Linked DNA regions of Canis lupus familiaris. The protein of the gene in region 2 interacts with the protein of the main gene of each other region in a pairwise test. Links are inferred from orthologs where the notes say so. Each region holds a gene or a part of one and is shown on either strand. Other genes may lie near its edges.

What was found.
Region 1: the proteins of SHTN1 (region 2) and FABP3 interact in binary tests that used the Homo sapiens proteins (3 or more experiments, as listed by UniProt). The two-hybrid records come from large-scale screens. The link is inferred for Canis lupus familiaris from reciprocal best matches to the Homo sapiens genes SHTN1 and FABP3.

The regions. Positions count from the first base shown.
Region 1 is NC_049223.1:69,044,639-69,052,220, reverse strand, and holds the start of FABP3 (fatty acid-binding protein, heart), read right to left. Parts: upstream 4,647-7,582; 5' UTR 4,562-4,646; coding exon 4,489-4,561; intron 1,249-4,488; coding exon 1,076-1,248; intron 1-1,075. UniProt on the Homo sapiens protein: FABPs are thought to play a role in the intracellular transport of long-chain fatty acids and their acyl-CoA esters.
Region 2 is NC_049249.1:27,813,158-27,820,916, forward strand, and holds the start of SHTN1 (shootin-1), read right to left. Parts: upstream 4,640-7,759; 5' UTR 4,424-4,639; coding exon 4,366-4,423; intron 3,364-4,365; exon of another isoform or gene 3,344-3,363; intron 1-3,343. UniProt on the Homo sapiens protein: Involved in the generation of internal asymmetric signals required for neuronal polarization and neurite outgrowth.

The sequences.
Region 1 (7,582 bases), on a different chromosome or scaffold from region 2:
GATTATTTTCAGCTTAGGCATCCCAGAGCACTACTGTTTAATTAGGGTTCTTGTCCCTCAAAAAGGTGGGCTAGTCAAGGACACAGACGCATGTGATAGGGCCGACACCTTTCTCTAAGGTAGAATGATATCTTTGGTACCATCCCAACTCTGCTGCCAGCTTCCTACTGATTCTGGACAGGGCTCCAGCTTCCTCCACAAGGAGACCAGCCCCTATCGTGTCTTTCTTGAGGCAGTTGTAAAGAAGCAAAAACAGCTGAGGGGCTGACTAATAGGGTCTGCTGGAGGATACTGCTATAGGGACTGACTCCCTTTAGAGGTCAAGTCCCTTAGTTCTCTCTCTGCCATGCCTGGCCCAGGGGCTGGGAGTCCTGAGGCGGGCAGCAAAGACAGAATCACCACAGGGTGACAAGCCCTGAGACTAGAAGTCGATGTCCCCTCCCTCCTTAGGAGGAGAGGGCTAAGTCTTCGTGGGAAGACACAGAAACACATCTTAGACAACGCTCTTTCCAGAACATAGCTTTTCTTGCCTGCGGGCCGGCAGAATTAGAAATAATTCCTCAGGCTCCCTGGCCAAGCCTGGAAGGAGACCTCCAAGGTGGATGTTGACAAAAAGGAAGCATCTGAGTAGTCTCCACCTCTTGTCCCTAGCTGCCTCCTTTGCTGCTGGAGGCCAGAATGACCTGCTCACTCAGAGGGAAGAGCTCTGAATCCTCCTGGGCATTGTTCCTAAAGTACTTGAGGTCACAGCCATGGTCACATAACTCTCCCGTCTATGGATTGGAAAGAAACCCAGAGCTCTTGCATGCCATGCACAACGTCACCCGGCTGGAGCTGGAGTTGACACTGAGAGGTCAGAAGAACATCCTGGTTCTGTGCTGCCCACTCCCAAAGGCCCCAGATGCTCCTCAAGGGGGGAGCAATGCAGGAGGACAGGGCTGGGGCATCCCAGCACCACACATGCTTTATGCACCTTGTTCATTTCAATCCCCCCAAATCACCTACCCCTCAGGGTACAATAATAGGGTGGCAAGTCTTAAGGTCTCCAATCTCTACACCCCCTTTCATGACTCACCTTGACCTTCCTGTCATCTGCTGTTGTCTCATCGAATTCCACCCCTAACTTGAAGCTGATCTCTGTGTTCTTGAAGGTGCTGTGTGTTTTTATGATGATAGTGTCCCCATTCATTTCGATGACTGTGGTAGGCTTGGTCATGTTGGCCACCTGCCTGGTAGCAAAACCCACACCTGAGGGCAGGGGGAAGAGGATAAGCATATGAGTGGAACAGAAAGGCAGGGTTGAGGATCTCTGCACAACTGTCAGGCTTGGATGTGGGGCATAGGGATGTGGAGTACGAGAACTTCCAGAGACTCCGGCTCTTTTTTAAATTCGGCTTTCCTGTTAGCTCTGTGTGGCAAAGAGACACTTGATTTCACTGGGCAGATGAGAGGTGTAAGGAGTTTAAGGGACAGGCATACCACAGCAAGTCATGGCAGATCTGAGATTAGAGCAGGCTACTTTCTTTGTGTTACCTCATTTAGCCCTTCATTCTCCCTTGAAGGCACGATGTAGTTATCTCCACTTCACACTCAAGCCCAGGGTCACAGGTCTGGAATTCCAACCCAGAACTGTTTGACTGAAGAAACTCATGCAACTGCTTAGCTATACTGTCTCCCAAGGATGGAGCACAGGGCTCCTTCCCGGACCCTCGAGTTTTCCAGCCACAGGCTAAGGAAAGAGAAATGCAGACTTTGCCTTCCAAAACCTGAGGGACAAGCATTTCCCACCTTTGGAAGTTTTTGCCTTGAAACGCACTGGTGTACTTGTCCCCTATGTATGGCAGCGGGATATTTCCAAGTCCTCTTCTCTAGGACTTAGGAGGTAGGCAGAAGGGAAAGTGTGTCTCCGTGTACAGCTTTAGGAGAGGCCTGAGAGCTATGCAGTTAGGACTCGAATCCAGGTCTCCTGGCTCCTAGTCTGAGGCCCTCAGGGGACTCCCCCCTCCCATCCCGGAACAAAGCACTCTTCCCTGGCTGCTGGGCAAAGCCTTCAGTGTCCTGCAAGAGTGAAAGAACAGCAAAGCCTTAACCCCTTCAGGTTATAGCTTCCTCGTGATCTGGCCTTTTGCCTCCAACCTCCCATCACAACTGCCTGCCATTCTGCCCCCAGCAGCTGTGGTTAGCTGTGTCACAGGGTAGAGGTGAGGCAGAAGCAGCCCAGTGTGGCGAACTGGCGTGCCAGGCTACATACACTGCACTTGCTGGAAGCTAGGTTCTTAGCCCATGTCCCGCATGGGTCCTTTCACTTAATGCTTAGAACACATAACAGCCCTGAACAGTAAGCTTTATTTTCCCCACTTCACAAATTAGGCTTGGAGAAAGGTTATTTTGCCCAAAGTCAAAGATTTTGATTTTGGAGGAGGGGGAGTGATGGACCTAGTATGAATCTAGGCTCCAGAACTTGTTCATTCTTCCTCTGGGGCCATTCTTCCAGCATGTGCTTCCTCCCGGCACTGAGGCCACCAGGTGGGCCTGTGATCACTGGTACTAACTAGGCTGGGTCTCTCTGCCCCCTGAGGGAGCTTGGTCTAAAACTAGAGGGGCGAGGGCAGCTTCTGCCCTGGCCAGTAAGGGACTTGGCCTTAGCCCCAACTATCAGAGTGAGTCAGGCTGATCCCACTCCCCTGTACGGACGGCCTTGTCACCATACAAGGAGCTCTGTTTGCTAAGGACCTACCCAGAGGTGTGGTGTGTTTGAGAAAGGAAACCACTGTGGGGGTGAGTGAGGGACTGAGTCAAGAGAAAATGAGACCAAAAAATGGGGCTGATAATTTTGGGGGATCCGAAAGAGTGGGTTTTACTTAGAAATGAAGTGGAAGCTATTTACAGAGAGCTGAGGATGATCTTTTCTCCTCCATGGACCTCTCATCCTTTCCATCTGTGTATGGAGAAAAGCAGGCTGGATGTATTCTCAGCCCTGTAGCTCAAATTTGCCCCTTTGGTCAAAATAAGGGAACAAGTGTGATAAGGATGTTGCAGCTCACTTCAGGGACACAGGACTTCAGTTGGAATGTCCGCTTTGGGAGGAGGGGCATCCCAACTTCCCAACAGCTGCCCAGGGCCCACTGCTCCAAGAGTGGCTACTTTCCTGGAGTCAGTAGGCATAGTACCCAGCATGCTATGGTGGGGGCATGAGAGCTGTGACCCCAAAAGTCAACACTTGTTCCTATTTCAGGAAAGGGTTAGGAACCCCTTATTTGGGTGTTTGCCAGAATCAGCCCCCCTTCCCTGGTAGGAAGGCATGGAATGTAGCTCAACTATGAACAATATTCTGGTTTCCTTGTCCCAGCCTGGGCCACTAGGATAATCTCATAGCTGGGAATTAAGAGAAAGGGTATCACCTTTTTCATCTAAGCCCATTTGAGGAGGGGAAGGGCCGAGGTCAATCATTAGTTTAGCAGTTCCTACCACTCCCACCCCCAGGGTCTATAGTGGAAACTACTCTGGGCTGCAGATCTAGAAATCTAGGTTTTCATATCTGCCCTGCCATGGGGTTTATATGACCAGTTTCTCTCTCTGGGTCTCAGTCTCCCCATCTGTCAAACTAGGCAAACAGGAGGGATCTCCAAGGACCTCATGTTTAAGGAGTCTGAATCTTTATTCTTTATTCCAAACAACCACACCTTCCTAGACCAAAGACCCTCCCTGTCTTTAGCAGATCTTGGCCTTCCTCCAAGACCCTGCTGCACCCTGGGAGCCCAGTGGTTTTCCCCACCAGACCCCGCCCCAACAAGTGGCTGAACCAGCAGGTGATGGGTCCTCTTGCGGCGCCCTACCACTAGGCAGTGATTAAAGCCTGGTTACACACCACTGCAGCACAAGGTCACAGACTGGATGGTGAGAGGGCATCCTCCAGCAACCATCCTTTCTCTAGTTCAACATGAGGGGCAGGGGTTGTTGCTAACCGTGAGGAGCCCCTATCTCACTGCCTCCTCATATCCCATTCACCCCTTGTTCCCCTATTTCCATCTCCCTCCTCCTAGGAGTTTCCACTTCTTTATGCCATAGTACACTCCCCATCCACCCCATTCCCTTTTTGTATTCACATTTTCCAATCCCAAAACCACCCGTGCTCCTCTTTTTTTCCTCCTCCGGCTAGCCTCCCACCTTCTGCGATGGATGCTCTCTTATACAAACCCATCTATCTCCAGATCCTCTTCCTCGAAAGCGCCTCCCCGCCCCAACATCTACCGGCAGGCACATCTACCGCCTTGCCCCTCCCTACCTGGGAATCCCTCTCTGGCCGAATTCAGACCAGAAAGCCCCCCTTCCAACGGCCTCGCGTGCCCTAACCCAGGCTGCCGCCTGGTCCGCGTCCCCCTACCCCCCAGCCGTGAGCAGCAGGGGCGCACGCAGCAGGCGTGCAGGGTACTAGCCAGCGCCAGAACGCTGCGCCGGGCCGCGCACGGGGTCCCGAGTCACGCTCACCAATGGACTTCATGTAGTCATCGAAATTCTTGCTGTCCACTAGCTTCCAGGTGCCCACGAAAGCGTCCACCATGGTGAGGCTGGGCTAGGCCGAGAAAGCAGGCGACAAAGAAGCGTGCAAGGACTCCAGGACCCACGGTTCCCAGCCCGCGCTGCCGCCTTAAATAGCCCCGGTGTCACGTGGCGAGGCGTGGCCCACACCCGCAGCTCCCGAAATAGGAAGCCTCCCGCTGGCGCTCACCCGCCGGGAGCTGGCAGCCCATCCCCCGACCCGCCAGGCGGGAGGGGGCAGCCAGTGGCGCCTGGCTCGCCTGCGTCAGCGCGGGGGCCCGGCCTCCGAGTCCCTGCCCCGCGCTGGCAGGACCTGCTCCCTTCCCTGGCCTCGAGGCGCTCCTCGCAATCCGAGAAGGAAGCAGCCGGGGGCACAGTGCCCGCGAGCTAGGGCGCGCGCCCCCGACATCGTCGTCCCCCAGTGTCTCCCCGAGCTGGGGGTCAGAGCAGAGATGGGAGACTAGAGATGAAAGGAAACGCCCTTGGGCTGATGCCCACGCCGGGACAGCTCGGCTGGCTCTCCGTGGCGCAGGCATCTTGGTCCTCAGGTTGCAGGTGAGGAGTCCAAGGTGCAGCGGGGAGCTTGCAAGGTCACAGGAAATGAGGCGAGGGTTCATTGGAACCCAGCCTGCAAGCCCGGTCTGGCTGGCCCCGGAAGCAGTGGCTGTCTCACCACTCCCCACGCCACTCCCCACTCGCCGGTGGCGGGAAAAGTCGGCAGGGGCACCGTGCGCGGCTGAGCTGCCCCTGTGCCCTCCGCCCGCCCGAGGAGAGGGCATGACGCATCCCGCCCTGCCCTTCCTGCCCTTCCCGCCCGCACGTGCTCGCCCCTCGCTGTGGAAGGCCGCCTGCGCGCCTTTCAGCCCTGCCATGCTCCTCCCCCTCACCTTGGGGTCCTCTGACCAGAGTGTGGGGCCGAGGATTTCATCAGGTAATTTCCCCCCACACCTTCCTGCAGAAATTCTGTCCCTCCAGATGCTCTTACAGGCCCCAGGGCAGTTCCCCACCTGCTTCCCTTCCCTGACCTCTGCACACAGGCAGGCCTCTTGCAGTTTCACGAAATGTCACCCACTTCCTTCAAACAGCCTCCCTTGCGGTGGACACTTTACAAAGCGCTTTTTTTTTTTTTTTTTACAAAGCGCTTTTAATAGTAAGATCACCTTGTATTGATATTTATTTCATGCTGAGAGCCTTAAAGTACATTTTCTCATTGAACTTTCAGAACAAAGTCCATGTTTTCAGAACAAAGTAGGCTTTATAATTACCCCTGTTTTACAGATGAGCAAACTGAAGCCTGGAGGAGTCCATTCATTTCTTAATCCAGCGGTTGGTTATTAATAACTGCCTACTTTTTTGCCCGGCCTGGGGTTAGGCTCTGAAGAGACAACTATGAATGAGACATACTCCCATTGCTCACTTCTGTGTACACAGGCACAGAACTAATGTGACTCTTGAGGGGAGACCTGTCCTGATCTAGGAGTTCAGGGGAGACTTCCCAGAGGAAGTGAGGGGTAAGCGGATGCCTAACAGATAGGAGGCCCTGCAGAAGGAAGTGGTGCCCAGCTGAACCTCAGCCAGCAGAGGTCCAGAGGAGGCGGGGGGAGGCTTGACAGAGCCGCAGGCACACTAGCCCCAGGGTTCCCCAGCTCTGCCACTTGGGTACAGTGTGGTGGACCCTCCTGCCTGGCCTCTGTTTCTCCAGGTGGAAGTGGAGAGCATCCACCCCTACTTCTGACTTTCTGGGGAAGCCAGGGAGGAAGAGCCCTCTCTTGCCCAAGGTCTTGTTTCTTTGGGACATGTCCACTTGCCAGAAGACAGGGGCTTGTTTCTGCCAAAGCTACAGGGACAGGCCTTAGGGCTGGGCATGGAGCCCTGGTGACCTCATTGCTGGAACAGGTGCAAGGGAGGGTAGGGGGGAGAGTGGGATGGTTTCTAAGTCAAGGTCACAACATTTAGACACTGAGCCTCCTCTCTCAAGGACTGAGTAGCTGGAGGCCCGGTGGCCAGAGCTGTCACCCTACATGGTCCTTATGCCACCACTGCTGATGGGGAGAGCCAGAGTGGGGGCAGGTAGCTGTGGGCAGGTAGATCTGTGTGCCAGTTCTGATTCCCTGGGATACTCACTGTGTGGTTGTGGGCAATTCACTTAAGCCACTGTGAGTCTCAGTTTCATCTTGCAGATGTAGGTAATGACAGTATTTACTCCTTAATGGTATTTGGGGATCAAATGAGATAATGCATTTAAAATGCTGAGCATGGTGGACTTCATGCTCACTGCCACTGCTGTTATTGTTCCTATTGTCCTCGGACAGTGCAGGATTCTCCGACCTGCTCTCAGCCCTGCCCTTCACCTGCCAGGCCACCCACAGCAGATGGCTTGGCTTCTCTAATCCTCAGTTTTCTTGCTTCTGAGACAGGATTAGAACCTGCTGCAGTGGTGAGGAAGGGGCTGCAGAAATCTAAAGGATGGATTGGGCGGGGGGACACTGCTGGAAAGTCCTTTGCCCCCTCTCTCGGGCCCTGCCTTGGCCGAGCACTATGGAGACAAAGCCTAGACCCACTAGCCTTGCTGCGCCACCCCCAACCCCCCACCACACCCCGATCTGGGTCACTGAAGTGAACTCCTAAGCCACACTCTGTTTTCCACTGGACTTTCATTATCCCTCCCAAGTGTGCACTGCACACCTTCTCATTCCTCTCATTACCTGCATCCTCCTTGCCCTGTTCTACTCACCACCTTGGGGAATGAGGGGCAAGGGGAAAGAATTCGAGCCCTTCCCTCTTCCTGCCCCTCTCTCTTGCCCTTGGCAGATCCAGATGTAGATACAACATCTGGCAGGCAGCAGGACCAGTCCTTGCCAAGAGCAGCATCTCCCCAGCCCTCGCCTTATGATGATGTCACTGTTCTGTGTTTCCATGGCAACCACCGGCTGGGAAGATGGAGAAGAGGAGAGCTGAGTAACCATGAGAGAGCCAATGAGATGGGCCAGCTGCACCGGATGATCCATGGGGCCATGGGCGGGGCTCGGGGGAACGCAGGGAG
Region 2 (7,759 bases):
CTGATGTAAGTGTTGTTAGACACATTTTTTTCAATAATTTCTTGAGATGCTCATTTAGAGTTCATGCACGTTTCTCAACTTACGTTATACTTTGTTGTAAAAGCAAAACATTTCAAATACCGATTTTACAAAAATATACCCAGATGAAGAAAATTAAATTTACCAGGCTTTTTTTCATAAATAAGTAGGTAAGAAAGTGCATGTATATCCCAATTACTGAGACGGGCGGCCCCTAAACCACACTTGGAAAAATAACAATGTAAAGCCAAGTTTGCACTTGACACCATGGCAACCATTTAAACCCCAAACTGTTTTCTACTGACTTTGTATATATCCAAGATTGACAATGCTTCCACTTTCCTGACTTGATATGGTCCCAGTGGTAGGCAATCATTTGGCCCCTTTTGTCAAAATAATGCTCAAGCTACTTTTTGGCCTAGCAGTCAAGGGAACACTGGGAGCCTCTTTTAATTACTAACTCAGGTCTAAGAATGAGCCTGGCTAAATTTCCAGCTGAAGCTGAAGCACAAATCTCTATAGTCTTGGGGAAAATGATAACTCTAAAGATAAGAGGAGGTTATCTAGCTTCAAAACCCATGATCTTATCATAGGATAGTGTGTTCAGGGTGGTGGTTGTAATTTTGGTCTTACTTTCTAACATCCTCACTGTTGGGTGATGATCGCTACCTTCAACACTTCCTCACCAACTTCCAAATGACACAGCATTACTATGCTGACCAGTTGAAGGGACTCTGTTGTTTGTGTCTGTTCAGCCTGCATCCTCCACTTTTGGTAGTGGCACACCATTCTTTTTTGGACAACTACTCTAATCCATTGGTCTTTGTGGGGGCTGCCAATCAAGGTGCCCTGCTGTTCCCTGACCAAAGAACTTAAACCCATGACCCAAACTGGGCCAACTGGACACTCTTCCTGGAATTCACATGCCCACCATCATCTCTAGACTAGGAACTCTTCACCAGTAGGGACAAAGTTTTATTCATCTATCTCTGATGCCTAGCACAGTGCCTGGCTATGAATATTCAATGCTTGTGGGATGAATACACTACAAAGAAAATCATGTACCTTAAACAAACGCTGAGCTAAGTCGATCATTTCCCAGCCGCATTCTGGAGGGGGAGCAAATTGTATGATGTTTTGTAAGGGAAATGTCCACTTTAGTAGCTAGGAAATATGCATCGGAAATAGTACCCTAAGTTGCCATTTGTCAGTGCATTAAAGACGTCAATCAGTCCAATAAAATAAAGCTCCAAAAAGGACAAAAAGAGAATTACCTCATTACCTCAACATCTGCTTGAACATAAGCAATCACACACTGGCTAATTTTTTTAAAGGGACATAATATAACTTTCTAGAAAGACATAATATAGGTAATTATACCATTCACGAGAAGGGAACATACAATGTTTTGAAGTAATTCAGAAGTGGGTGTGATTTATAAGACATAGAGCTTAGGGAATGGTAAGTATAAATTAGAGATTGTTCATATTATGACAGACTCCGTCATTACATTTCACAACTTTTGTCAAAAGCAACCTTAGTCACCACACCAATGAAGACTTCACATTAGGGAAGGCTGCTGTCAGTGCTGCCATTCAGAGTAGATAGGAATCCTCTTTCTCAACACCCTCTCGGGAATGGGTTCAAATTTTTGACTTAAAAATCACTGAGGAAAAAATGAAATAAGGAAACCTCCATGGCCAATAAACACGTATAAAGATGTCAAACCCCGCTAAGAACCAGGTAATACAATTTTTCTAAAGGTACTATTTCTGACCATCAGATTGGTAAAAATTACAAAACTTGTCAGACTGCCAAAATTAGTAAAGACTGATGTTGGTCAACATTGACAACTGTAGGGGGAAACAGGCACTGCTGGGGGGAATGTGAACTGGTACCATCATATTGGGGGGGGGGCACTTTGGCGATGCCTGGCACAACTTTATGTCTACTGGCCCTCTGATGCAATGATTCCCTTTCGAAGACTCTATCCTAAAAAAAAAAACAATGTGTGATTATACACATTTGTGTGATTATTTGATTCATGACTCTCTACTAGACAATAAACTTAGGTAGAGCAGACCATCTGGTTCACTACCTCTACCCCCAGTACCTACCACGTGGGGCTCAGATATGGTAGGTATCTGCTAAGTATTTGTTAAAAGAAGAAATGAGTGTGTTGAAGGGGTATCAAAAAAGGAAAGTAAAGTGTTCATCATAATTGGTTCTTCTTGTCTACATTAAACAAGAGCGGTAGAGTCAGTCACAATGTTAACAGGTATTTTTTTAAAAAATGTCTATTTTCAAAAATAAATCAGGCACACTGTCAGCTTACAAAATTAATTATCATACTGGTAACAGCCCAAACACCTAGCGGCCTGTCTTTCCACCTCAAATCCCTAGTTTTCCAGTTAGTTCCATGGGTCAAACAGCTATTAAATGCTCTTGAAATGAGCCAGTTGTTATCACGGTCTATGATCCAATGACAAAGAAATGCCTGGTTTTGAGAATGGGCTGAAAATAATCCCAAAACCTGTGTAACTAGACTCAGCACCCCCCCAAAAAAGTGCACCTTTTAAGAAACACAAATTTCCAAGTCTACCCATTCTATTGCCTTTGACATGCCCATAATCAAGGAAGTATATCCTCTAAAAATACCAATACCATGGATTTGTGTTCCCGTATAATATGAGAAAGAACCAAAAACTTTAGAATCTTCCTTTTTTTCTCAGCTCTCAAATCCAACATAGAAACAGAGGATGTGTTTCAAAATCAAGTATAAACAACTTGTGGATTATAAACCACAAGTGCTTTGATAAACCTACCCTTGGAATGATTATATTCAGAAAAAAAAAAAAACGTGAAATTTTTAACTGTATCACTACTTGAAAACGGACCATCCATCAAAAACTCTGGTATCCACCGGCAGCTATCACCCATGATGAAAGCTCCAACCATCTAGAATATGAAGTAAGAATCTTTATGTTACTGGGGGAAGAGTGCTATTGGAAATAAGATACGGACTGAATCCAGCCCCTCACTAAACCGCTTGAGGAATGCTCGCTAAGGGCATTTTGCAAACCCACTAAATTCACTGATGCTTGGGACTTTATGACCCTAAGGCTTAGTCCAGGACGGTTGTTGAAGGTACTGAGAAGGCAAAACCCATGAACATTTATCCAACACTTTCTAAATACTAGATATTACGAAGAGTCCCGTTCTGTCCATTTCAGGGAGGTAACGATTTCCCCAAGATAACAGGGTTGGTAAACAATCGTGCTGAGATTTGTTTCCAAGAGTGTCAACTCCAGAGAGGTCTACATACCTCGTGCAATCGGTATGTTTGTGGTTTCAAGGAGCAACAGGTCATAGCACTGGACAGGACCTGATAAAATCGTATGGCTTAGCCCATGTCTTTAGTCGGGTAAGGAAGGCATGATAACCACAAGGCCCCTGGAGGGGCAGAGTTTCTTCGAGGTTCACAGAGTCGATAAGTTGAGCCAACAGAAGCAAAAGAGCCAGAAAACAGCAGGATTGGCCACAGAGCAGGACCTCCTCCACGAGGTGGCCGTGTCAGCAAGTAGTGATTCGGCAAAAGTGCATGTTCCTACGCATTTTTATTTCCTAAATCTACGCAGTTCCTCTCTCTCTCCCTTGACCCATATTCTCGGGCCACCGTGGGCCTGGGTAAGGACAGGCATTTTGAAAAGTGAAGAGTGTCGAAGTCACATTCGATCGCCAATGGGGCTTTGTTGAGAAAGAAGCGCAGGAGGAGACGTAGGCGAGGGATCCGGGAGGAGGTGCCCCGCGGTTACCTGGCGGGGGTAGAGACGCGAGGACGCGCGGGCGGCTCCCCGGCAGGCCAGGCCGGATCTGAATTCAGGAAGCCGGGCACAGCCAGGGTGTTGGCTACTGACTAAGAAACTGCTAAAAATGGTAGGTGGTAAAACACAGCACGGCCTGGCATCGTGGCTGGGGAAGGAAAGAGGAACCAGACCGACGCCGAGCGAAAGCCGGGAAGGCTGGTGCGAGGCAGCGCGCAGGCCTCCCCGCGCCCGTGTGCAGGGGTGGGGCCCGGCGGGGGCGGGCGAGAAGGGGCCCGGGCCCCGGCCGCCCCCAGTCCGGGCCCCTTCCCCCACCCCCGCTCAAGCAGCCCGCGCCAGCCGGCCCCACAGCCCCCGCCCCCTGCCTGACCCCGGCCCGGGCCCCGGCCCCGGCTCCGCGAGGCGCGCGGGCGCGGAGGGCGCTGCAGCGCCGGGGCCCCGACACCTCCCAGCGCGCCCGCCGCAGCCCCGGCCCCGCGCCCGGAGCCGTCCCCGCCCGCACCTGGCGGCCGCGCGCCCCTACCTTGCTCCTTCAGGCTGGTGATGAGCTGCAGCTGCTTCTCCTCGTCCGAGCTGTTCATGTCGGCAGGTGGGGCCGGGAATAAAGGCAAGGAGGGAGAGGCGAGGGGTGCAGCGGGGGGGAGGGGGAGGAAAAGCAAGCCGCGGGTGGCGTGCGGCGGCGGCACTACCCGGAAGTCGGGTCTGCTCCCGCTCCTCCTCCTCCTCCTCCTCCTCCTCCTGGCGCCGAGCGCGCGAGTGAGATCATCCCCACGCACCTACTCGGCGGCCGCGGCGGCTGCACCTGCGGGCGCGGAGGGCGGGGCGGGCGGGGTCCGCAGCCCCGGGCGGGAGGTGGGGCGGCTGCCGCGCCGAGCCCTCCCCGCGAGGATGCCCGGGGCGGCGGGGGAGGGGGGGGGCTGGGAGCCGCGAGGGTGCGCCCCACTCGCTGCTGCACCCCTCCTGCGCCCCACCCCTGGACACGCGCGATCGGGGTGGGCGGGAGCAGCCGGCCTTGGGGCTGCGGCGTCCCTGGCGACCGCGCGTGGAGCGCTGCCGTGGGCCGACCCTCGCGGGCCCCCAAGGGAGGGCGGGGCGTGGTGGGCAGTAAACACCAGTTTAACCCAGTTCTCACCCCGTGGGAAATCAGCTGCCCGCAGGGGCCAGCTCGGGGGACGCGGCTTGCGCCTTGGAAAGCTGGCGGGGACCGAACAGGCCAGCCCGGTGCGTTAACGCCTGCAGAGCAAAGGAGGGCGGGGCAGTCGGCGGACGGCGCCCGGGCCCGGCGGCCTCCTGCAGCGGCGCGGCTCGGGAGGTGGTCCGAAGGGGGGCGCATCCTGCGGCACGTGGGCCGCTCTGCGGGGGCAGCACCTTGACCTTGGAGAGGCCGCCGCTGCGGGCTGAACGCCGGACGGAGGCCCCCCAGCCGCCGGGCAGCAGAGCTGGCCGGAATGAAGCCCAGCATCTGTCCCACTTCACTGCGCTCTGCACGGTTTAAACCCGGCTCCGGGTTAGACCCTGACCACGAGAGGTGTGGCAGGCCCGGCACACATCAGAACGGCTCTCCCCAGGCCCCAGTTGCTGGTTAGTCTTTGGTCAAGTCTCCTGACCTCTTCCAACTCCCATCTAAAGAACGGGAATGATACCATACTTACTCTCCAGGAAGATACAAAGCACCAAATATACAATTTGACACACAATAGGTGTTCTTTTTTTCAAGATTCAGATCACAGGTCAGGAAAAAAGGGGTTGTGAATGCTAAATTTAAACTAAAACGGGCATAGTTCTTTTACACTGATCAGTAAGCATCCAAAATAAATCCAAACTGAATTAGACCCACTGCATAGCTTGGTTTTTCTCACTAACAAGCCCCTACTGTGGTTACTACACCAGCACGGTGCTTCTGCTCAATACTCACTTGCAAATGTCCAACTCCATTTACTGAAGGGGGTCTCTCTGACAGTGGGGGAGGGGACTGGAATAAAGGTAGTTGCTGCAACCAGTATCTGCCTGGTGCGCCTACTAAATTCTAACTAAAACTTTGAAAAAAAAAATCATAGCTCTGCTTTCTCAAAAAAAAAAAAAAAAAAAAAGGTGACATAATATTTTTAGGATGGGTGATTTAGTGGCAGAATGACCCAAAAAAGGCAGCACAGTATTTTTAAATTAGAGTGAATTGGAATTTTGAAAATTCAAAAATAATTTTGGTATGGTGTCTTATTATCCAATCCTTTCCCTAGTTTTTCATGAAATAGTTTAGGACTTGCAGATCAACTGTCAGGAAAATCAGCAAGAGATTAACCGAAAGGCCTTTGCCCTGAGATTACCTGAGGTTATAGCTTAATCTTCAAAGATAAAGTGCCAGGAAACATGAGACAATTCAGATTCAGCTATGACAAAGCATGAATGATATGTGCTGTTGCCAGGTATTTTGTATATAGAGAAATCATTTCTTTTTTTAAAAGATGTTACTTATTTGAGAGAGAGAGAACAAGCAGGGGAGAGGGGCAAAGGGAGAAGCAGTGGACGGCAAGGAGGGAGCCAGATGACAACAGACAACAATGTGGGACTCCATCCCAGGACCCTGGGATCATGACCTGAGCTGAAGGCAGATGCTTAACCAACTGAACCCCCCAGGCGCCCTAAAAGAAATCATTTCTTTCCAGAAAAAAATCAAGACATTGGGCAAGAAATGGCCACCTGGTTTTTGTAAGGCAGCCAGGAAACCTGTTAAACCTGATCAGTCACCCTGATTGCTGGGCAGTGTCCAAAGACCTCTTCCAAAACTACCTGATCAGAAATATTTTCTCATACTCAACCAAATATCAGGACAGTGCCTATTAAATATTTGAGTTAATTCACAAAGTTCTGTTATTTTAATGGCTGATTTAATCATCTACTCCAATTATACAGTAATTAGGTATCCCTTTTGGAGTTTAAGAATGAGTTAATTAATTATCAAATCTATAATCAAATTGAGTGCTTTGGTCCCTGGCTTAATCTGAAGCCCCTTGAAATCAATCCTGTTTACCTTCCCTGAAATTAAAATAGCCTTCTGAAATACAATATGGTATTATCTTCAGGGCATGGAATGAATTATTAGGATGGCTATTAGAGTCAATTATTGGGATTCAGATCTCCCATTACGCTATGGTTTATTTATATGATATGAATATTGATGGAAAGGATAGAAGTGATATAATTAGTTTTTGTTCTGCTTAATAATGCACATAGGGATTTTTGTTGCAAGCATCACAATGGAATTATTAACCTCTATATAACATATAATTAAAAGTCTTTTAAAAATGTGTATATATATATATATAGAGAGAGAGAGAGAGAGAGGGAGAGAGAGAGAGAGATGGAGAGGACAGACTTTTAAAAAATGAATTGGAAGAATATGTACCAAACTCAGGATAATGGCCACCACTAGGAGTAGAAACAGGCCCAAGCAGTGAGGAGTAGAATGAGAGCAGTGGTCAAAAGCATTTTCTCTTTAATGCTTATTTGCATTTTCAGGAAATAATAAATTTACATGATTTATGTAATCTTTTGAAGTATACAAATAAGATCAAAATAGAACATGAAAAAAAGGTTCATTTTCTTTGATCTAACACCATTTTAGGGAATTATCTTCAAAGTCTTTAGATGTAAAGCTATTTATTATAATGTTATGATATAAAATTGATAGCACTATTATTTAACAATAAAAAGAAATAAAGTATACATGCTACAACATGGGTAAACTTTGAAAACACTATGCTAAGTGAAAAAAGCCAGTAAGAAAATACCAGATATTATATGATTCCATTTATATAGAATGTCCAGAAGAGGCAAAAGCCATAGAGAAAGTTGAACAGTGGTTGTTGAGGACTGGACAGCAGCGGGGGAAATGGGAAGTGGTTGCTTAAGAGGTATGG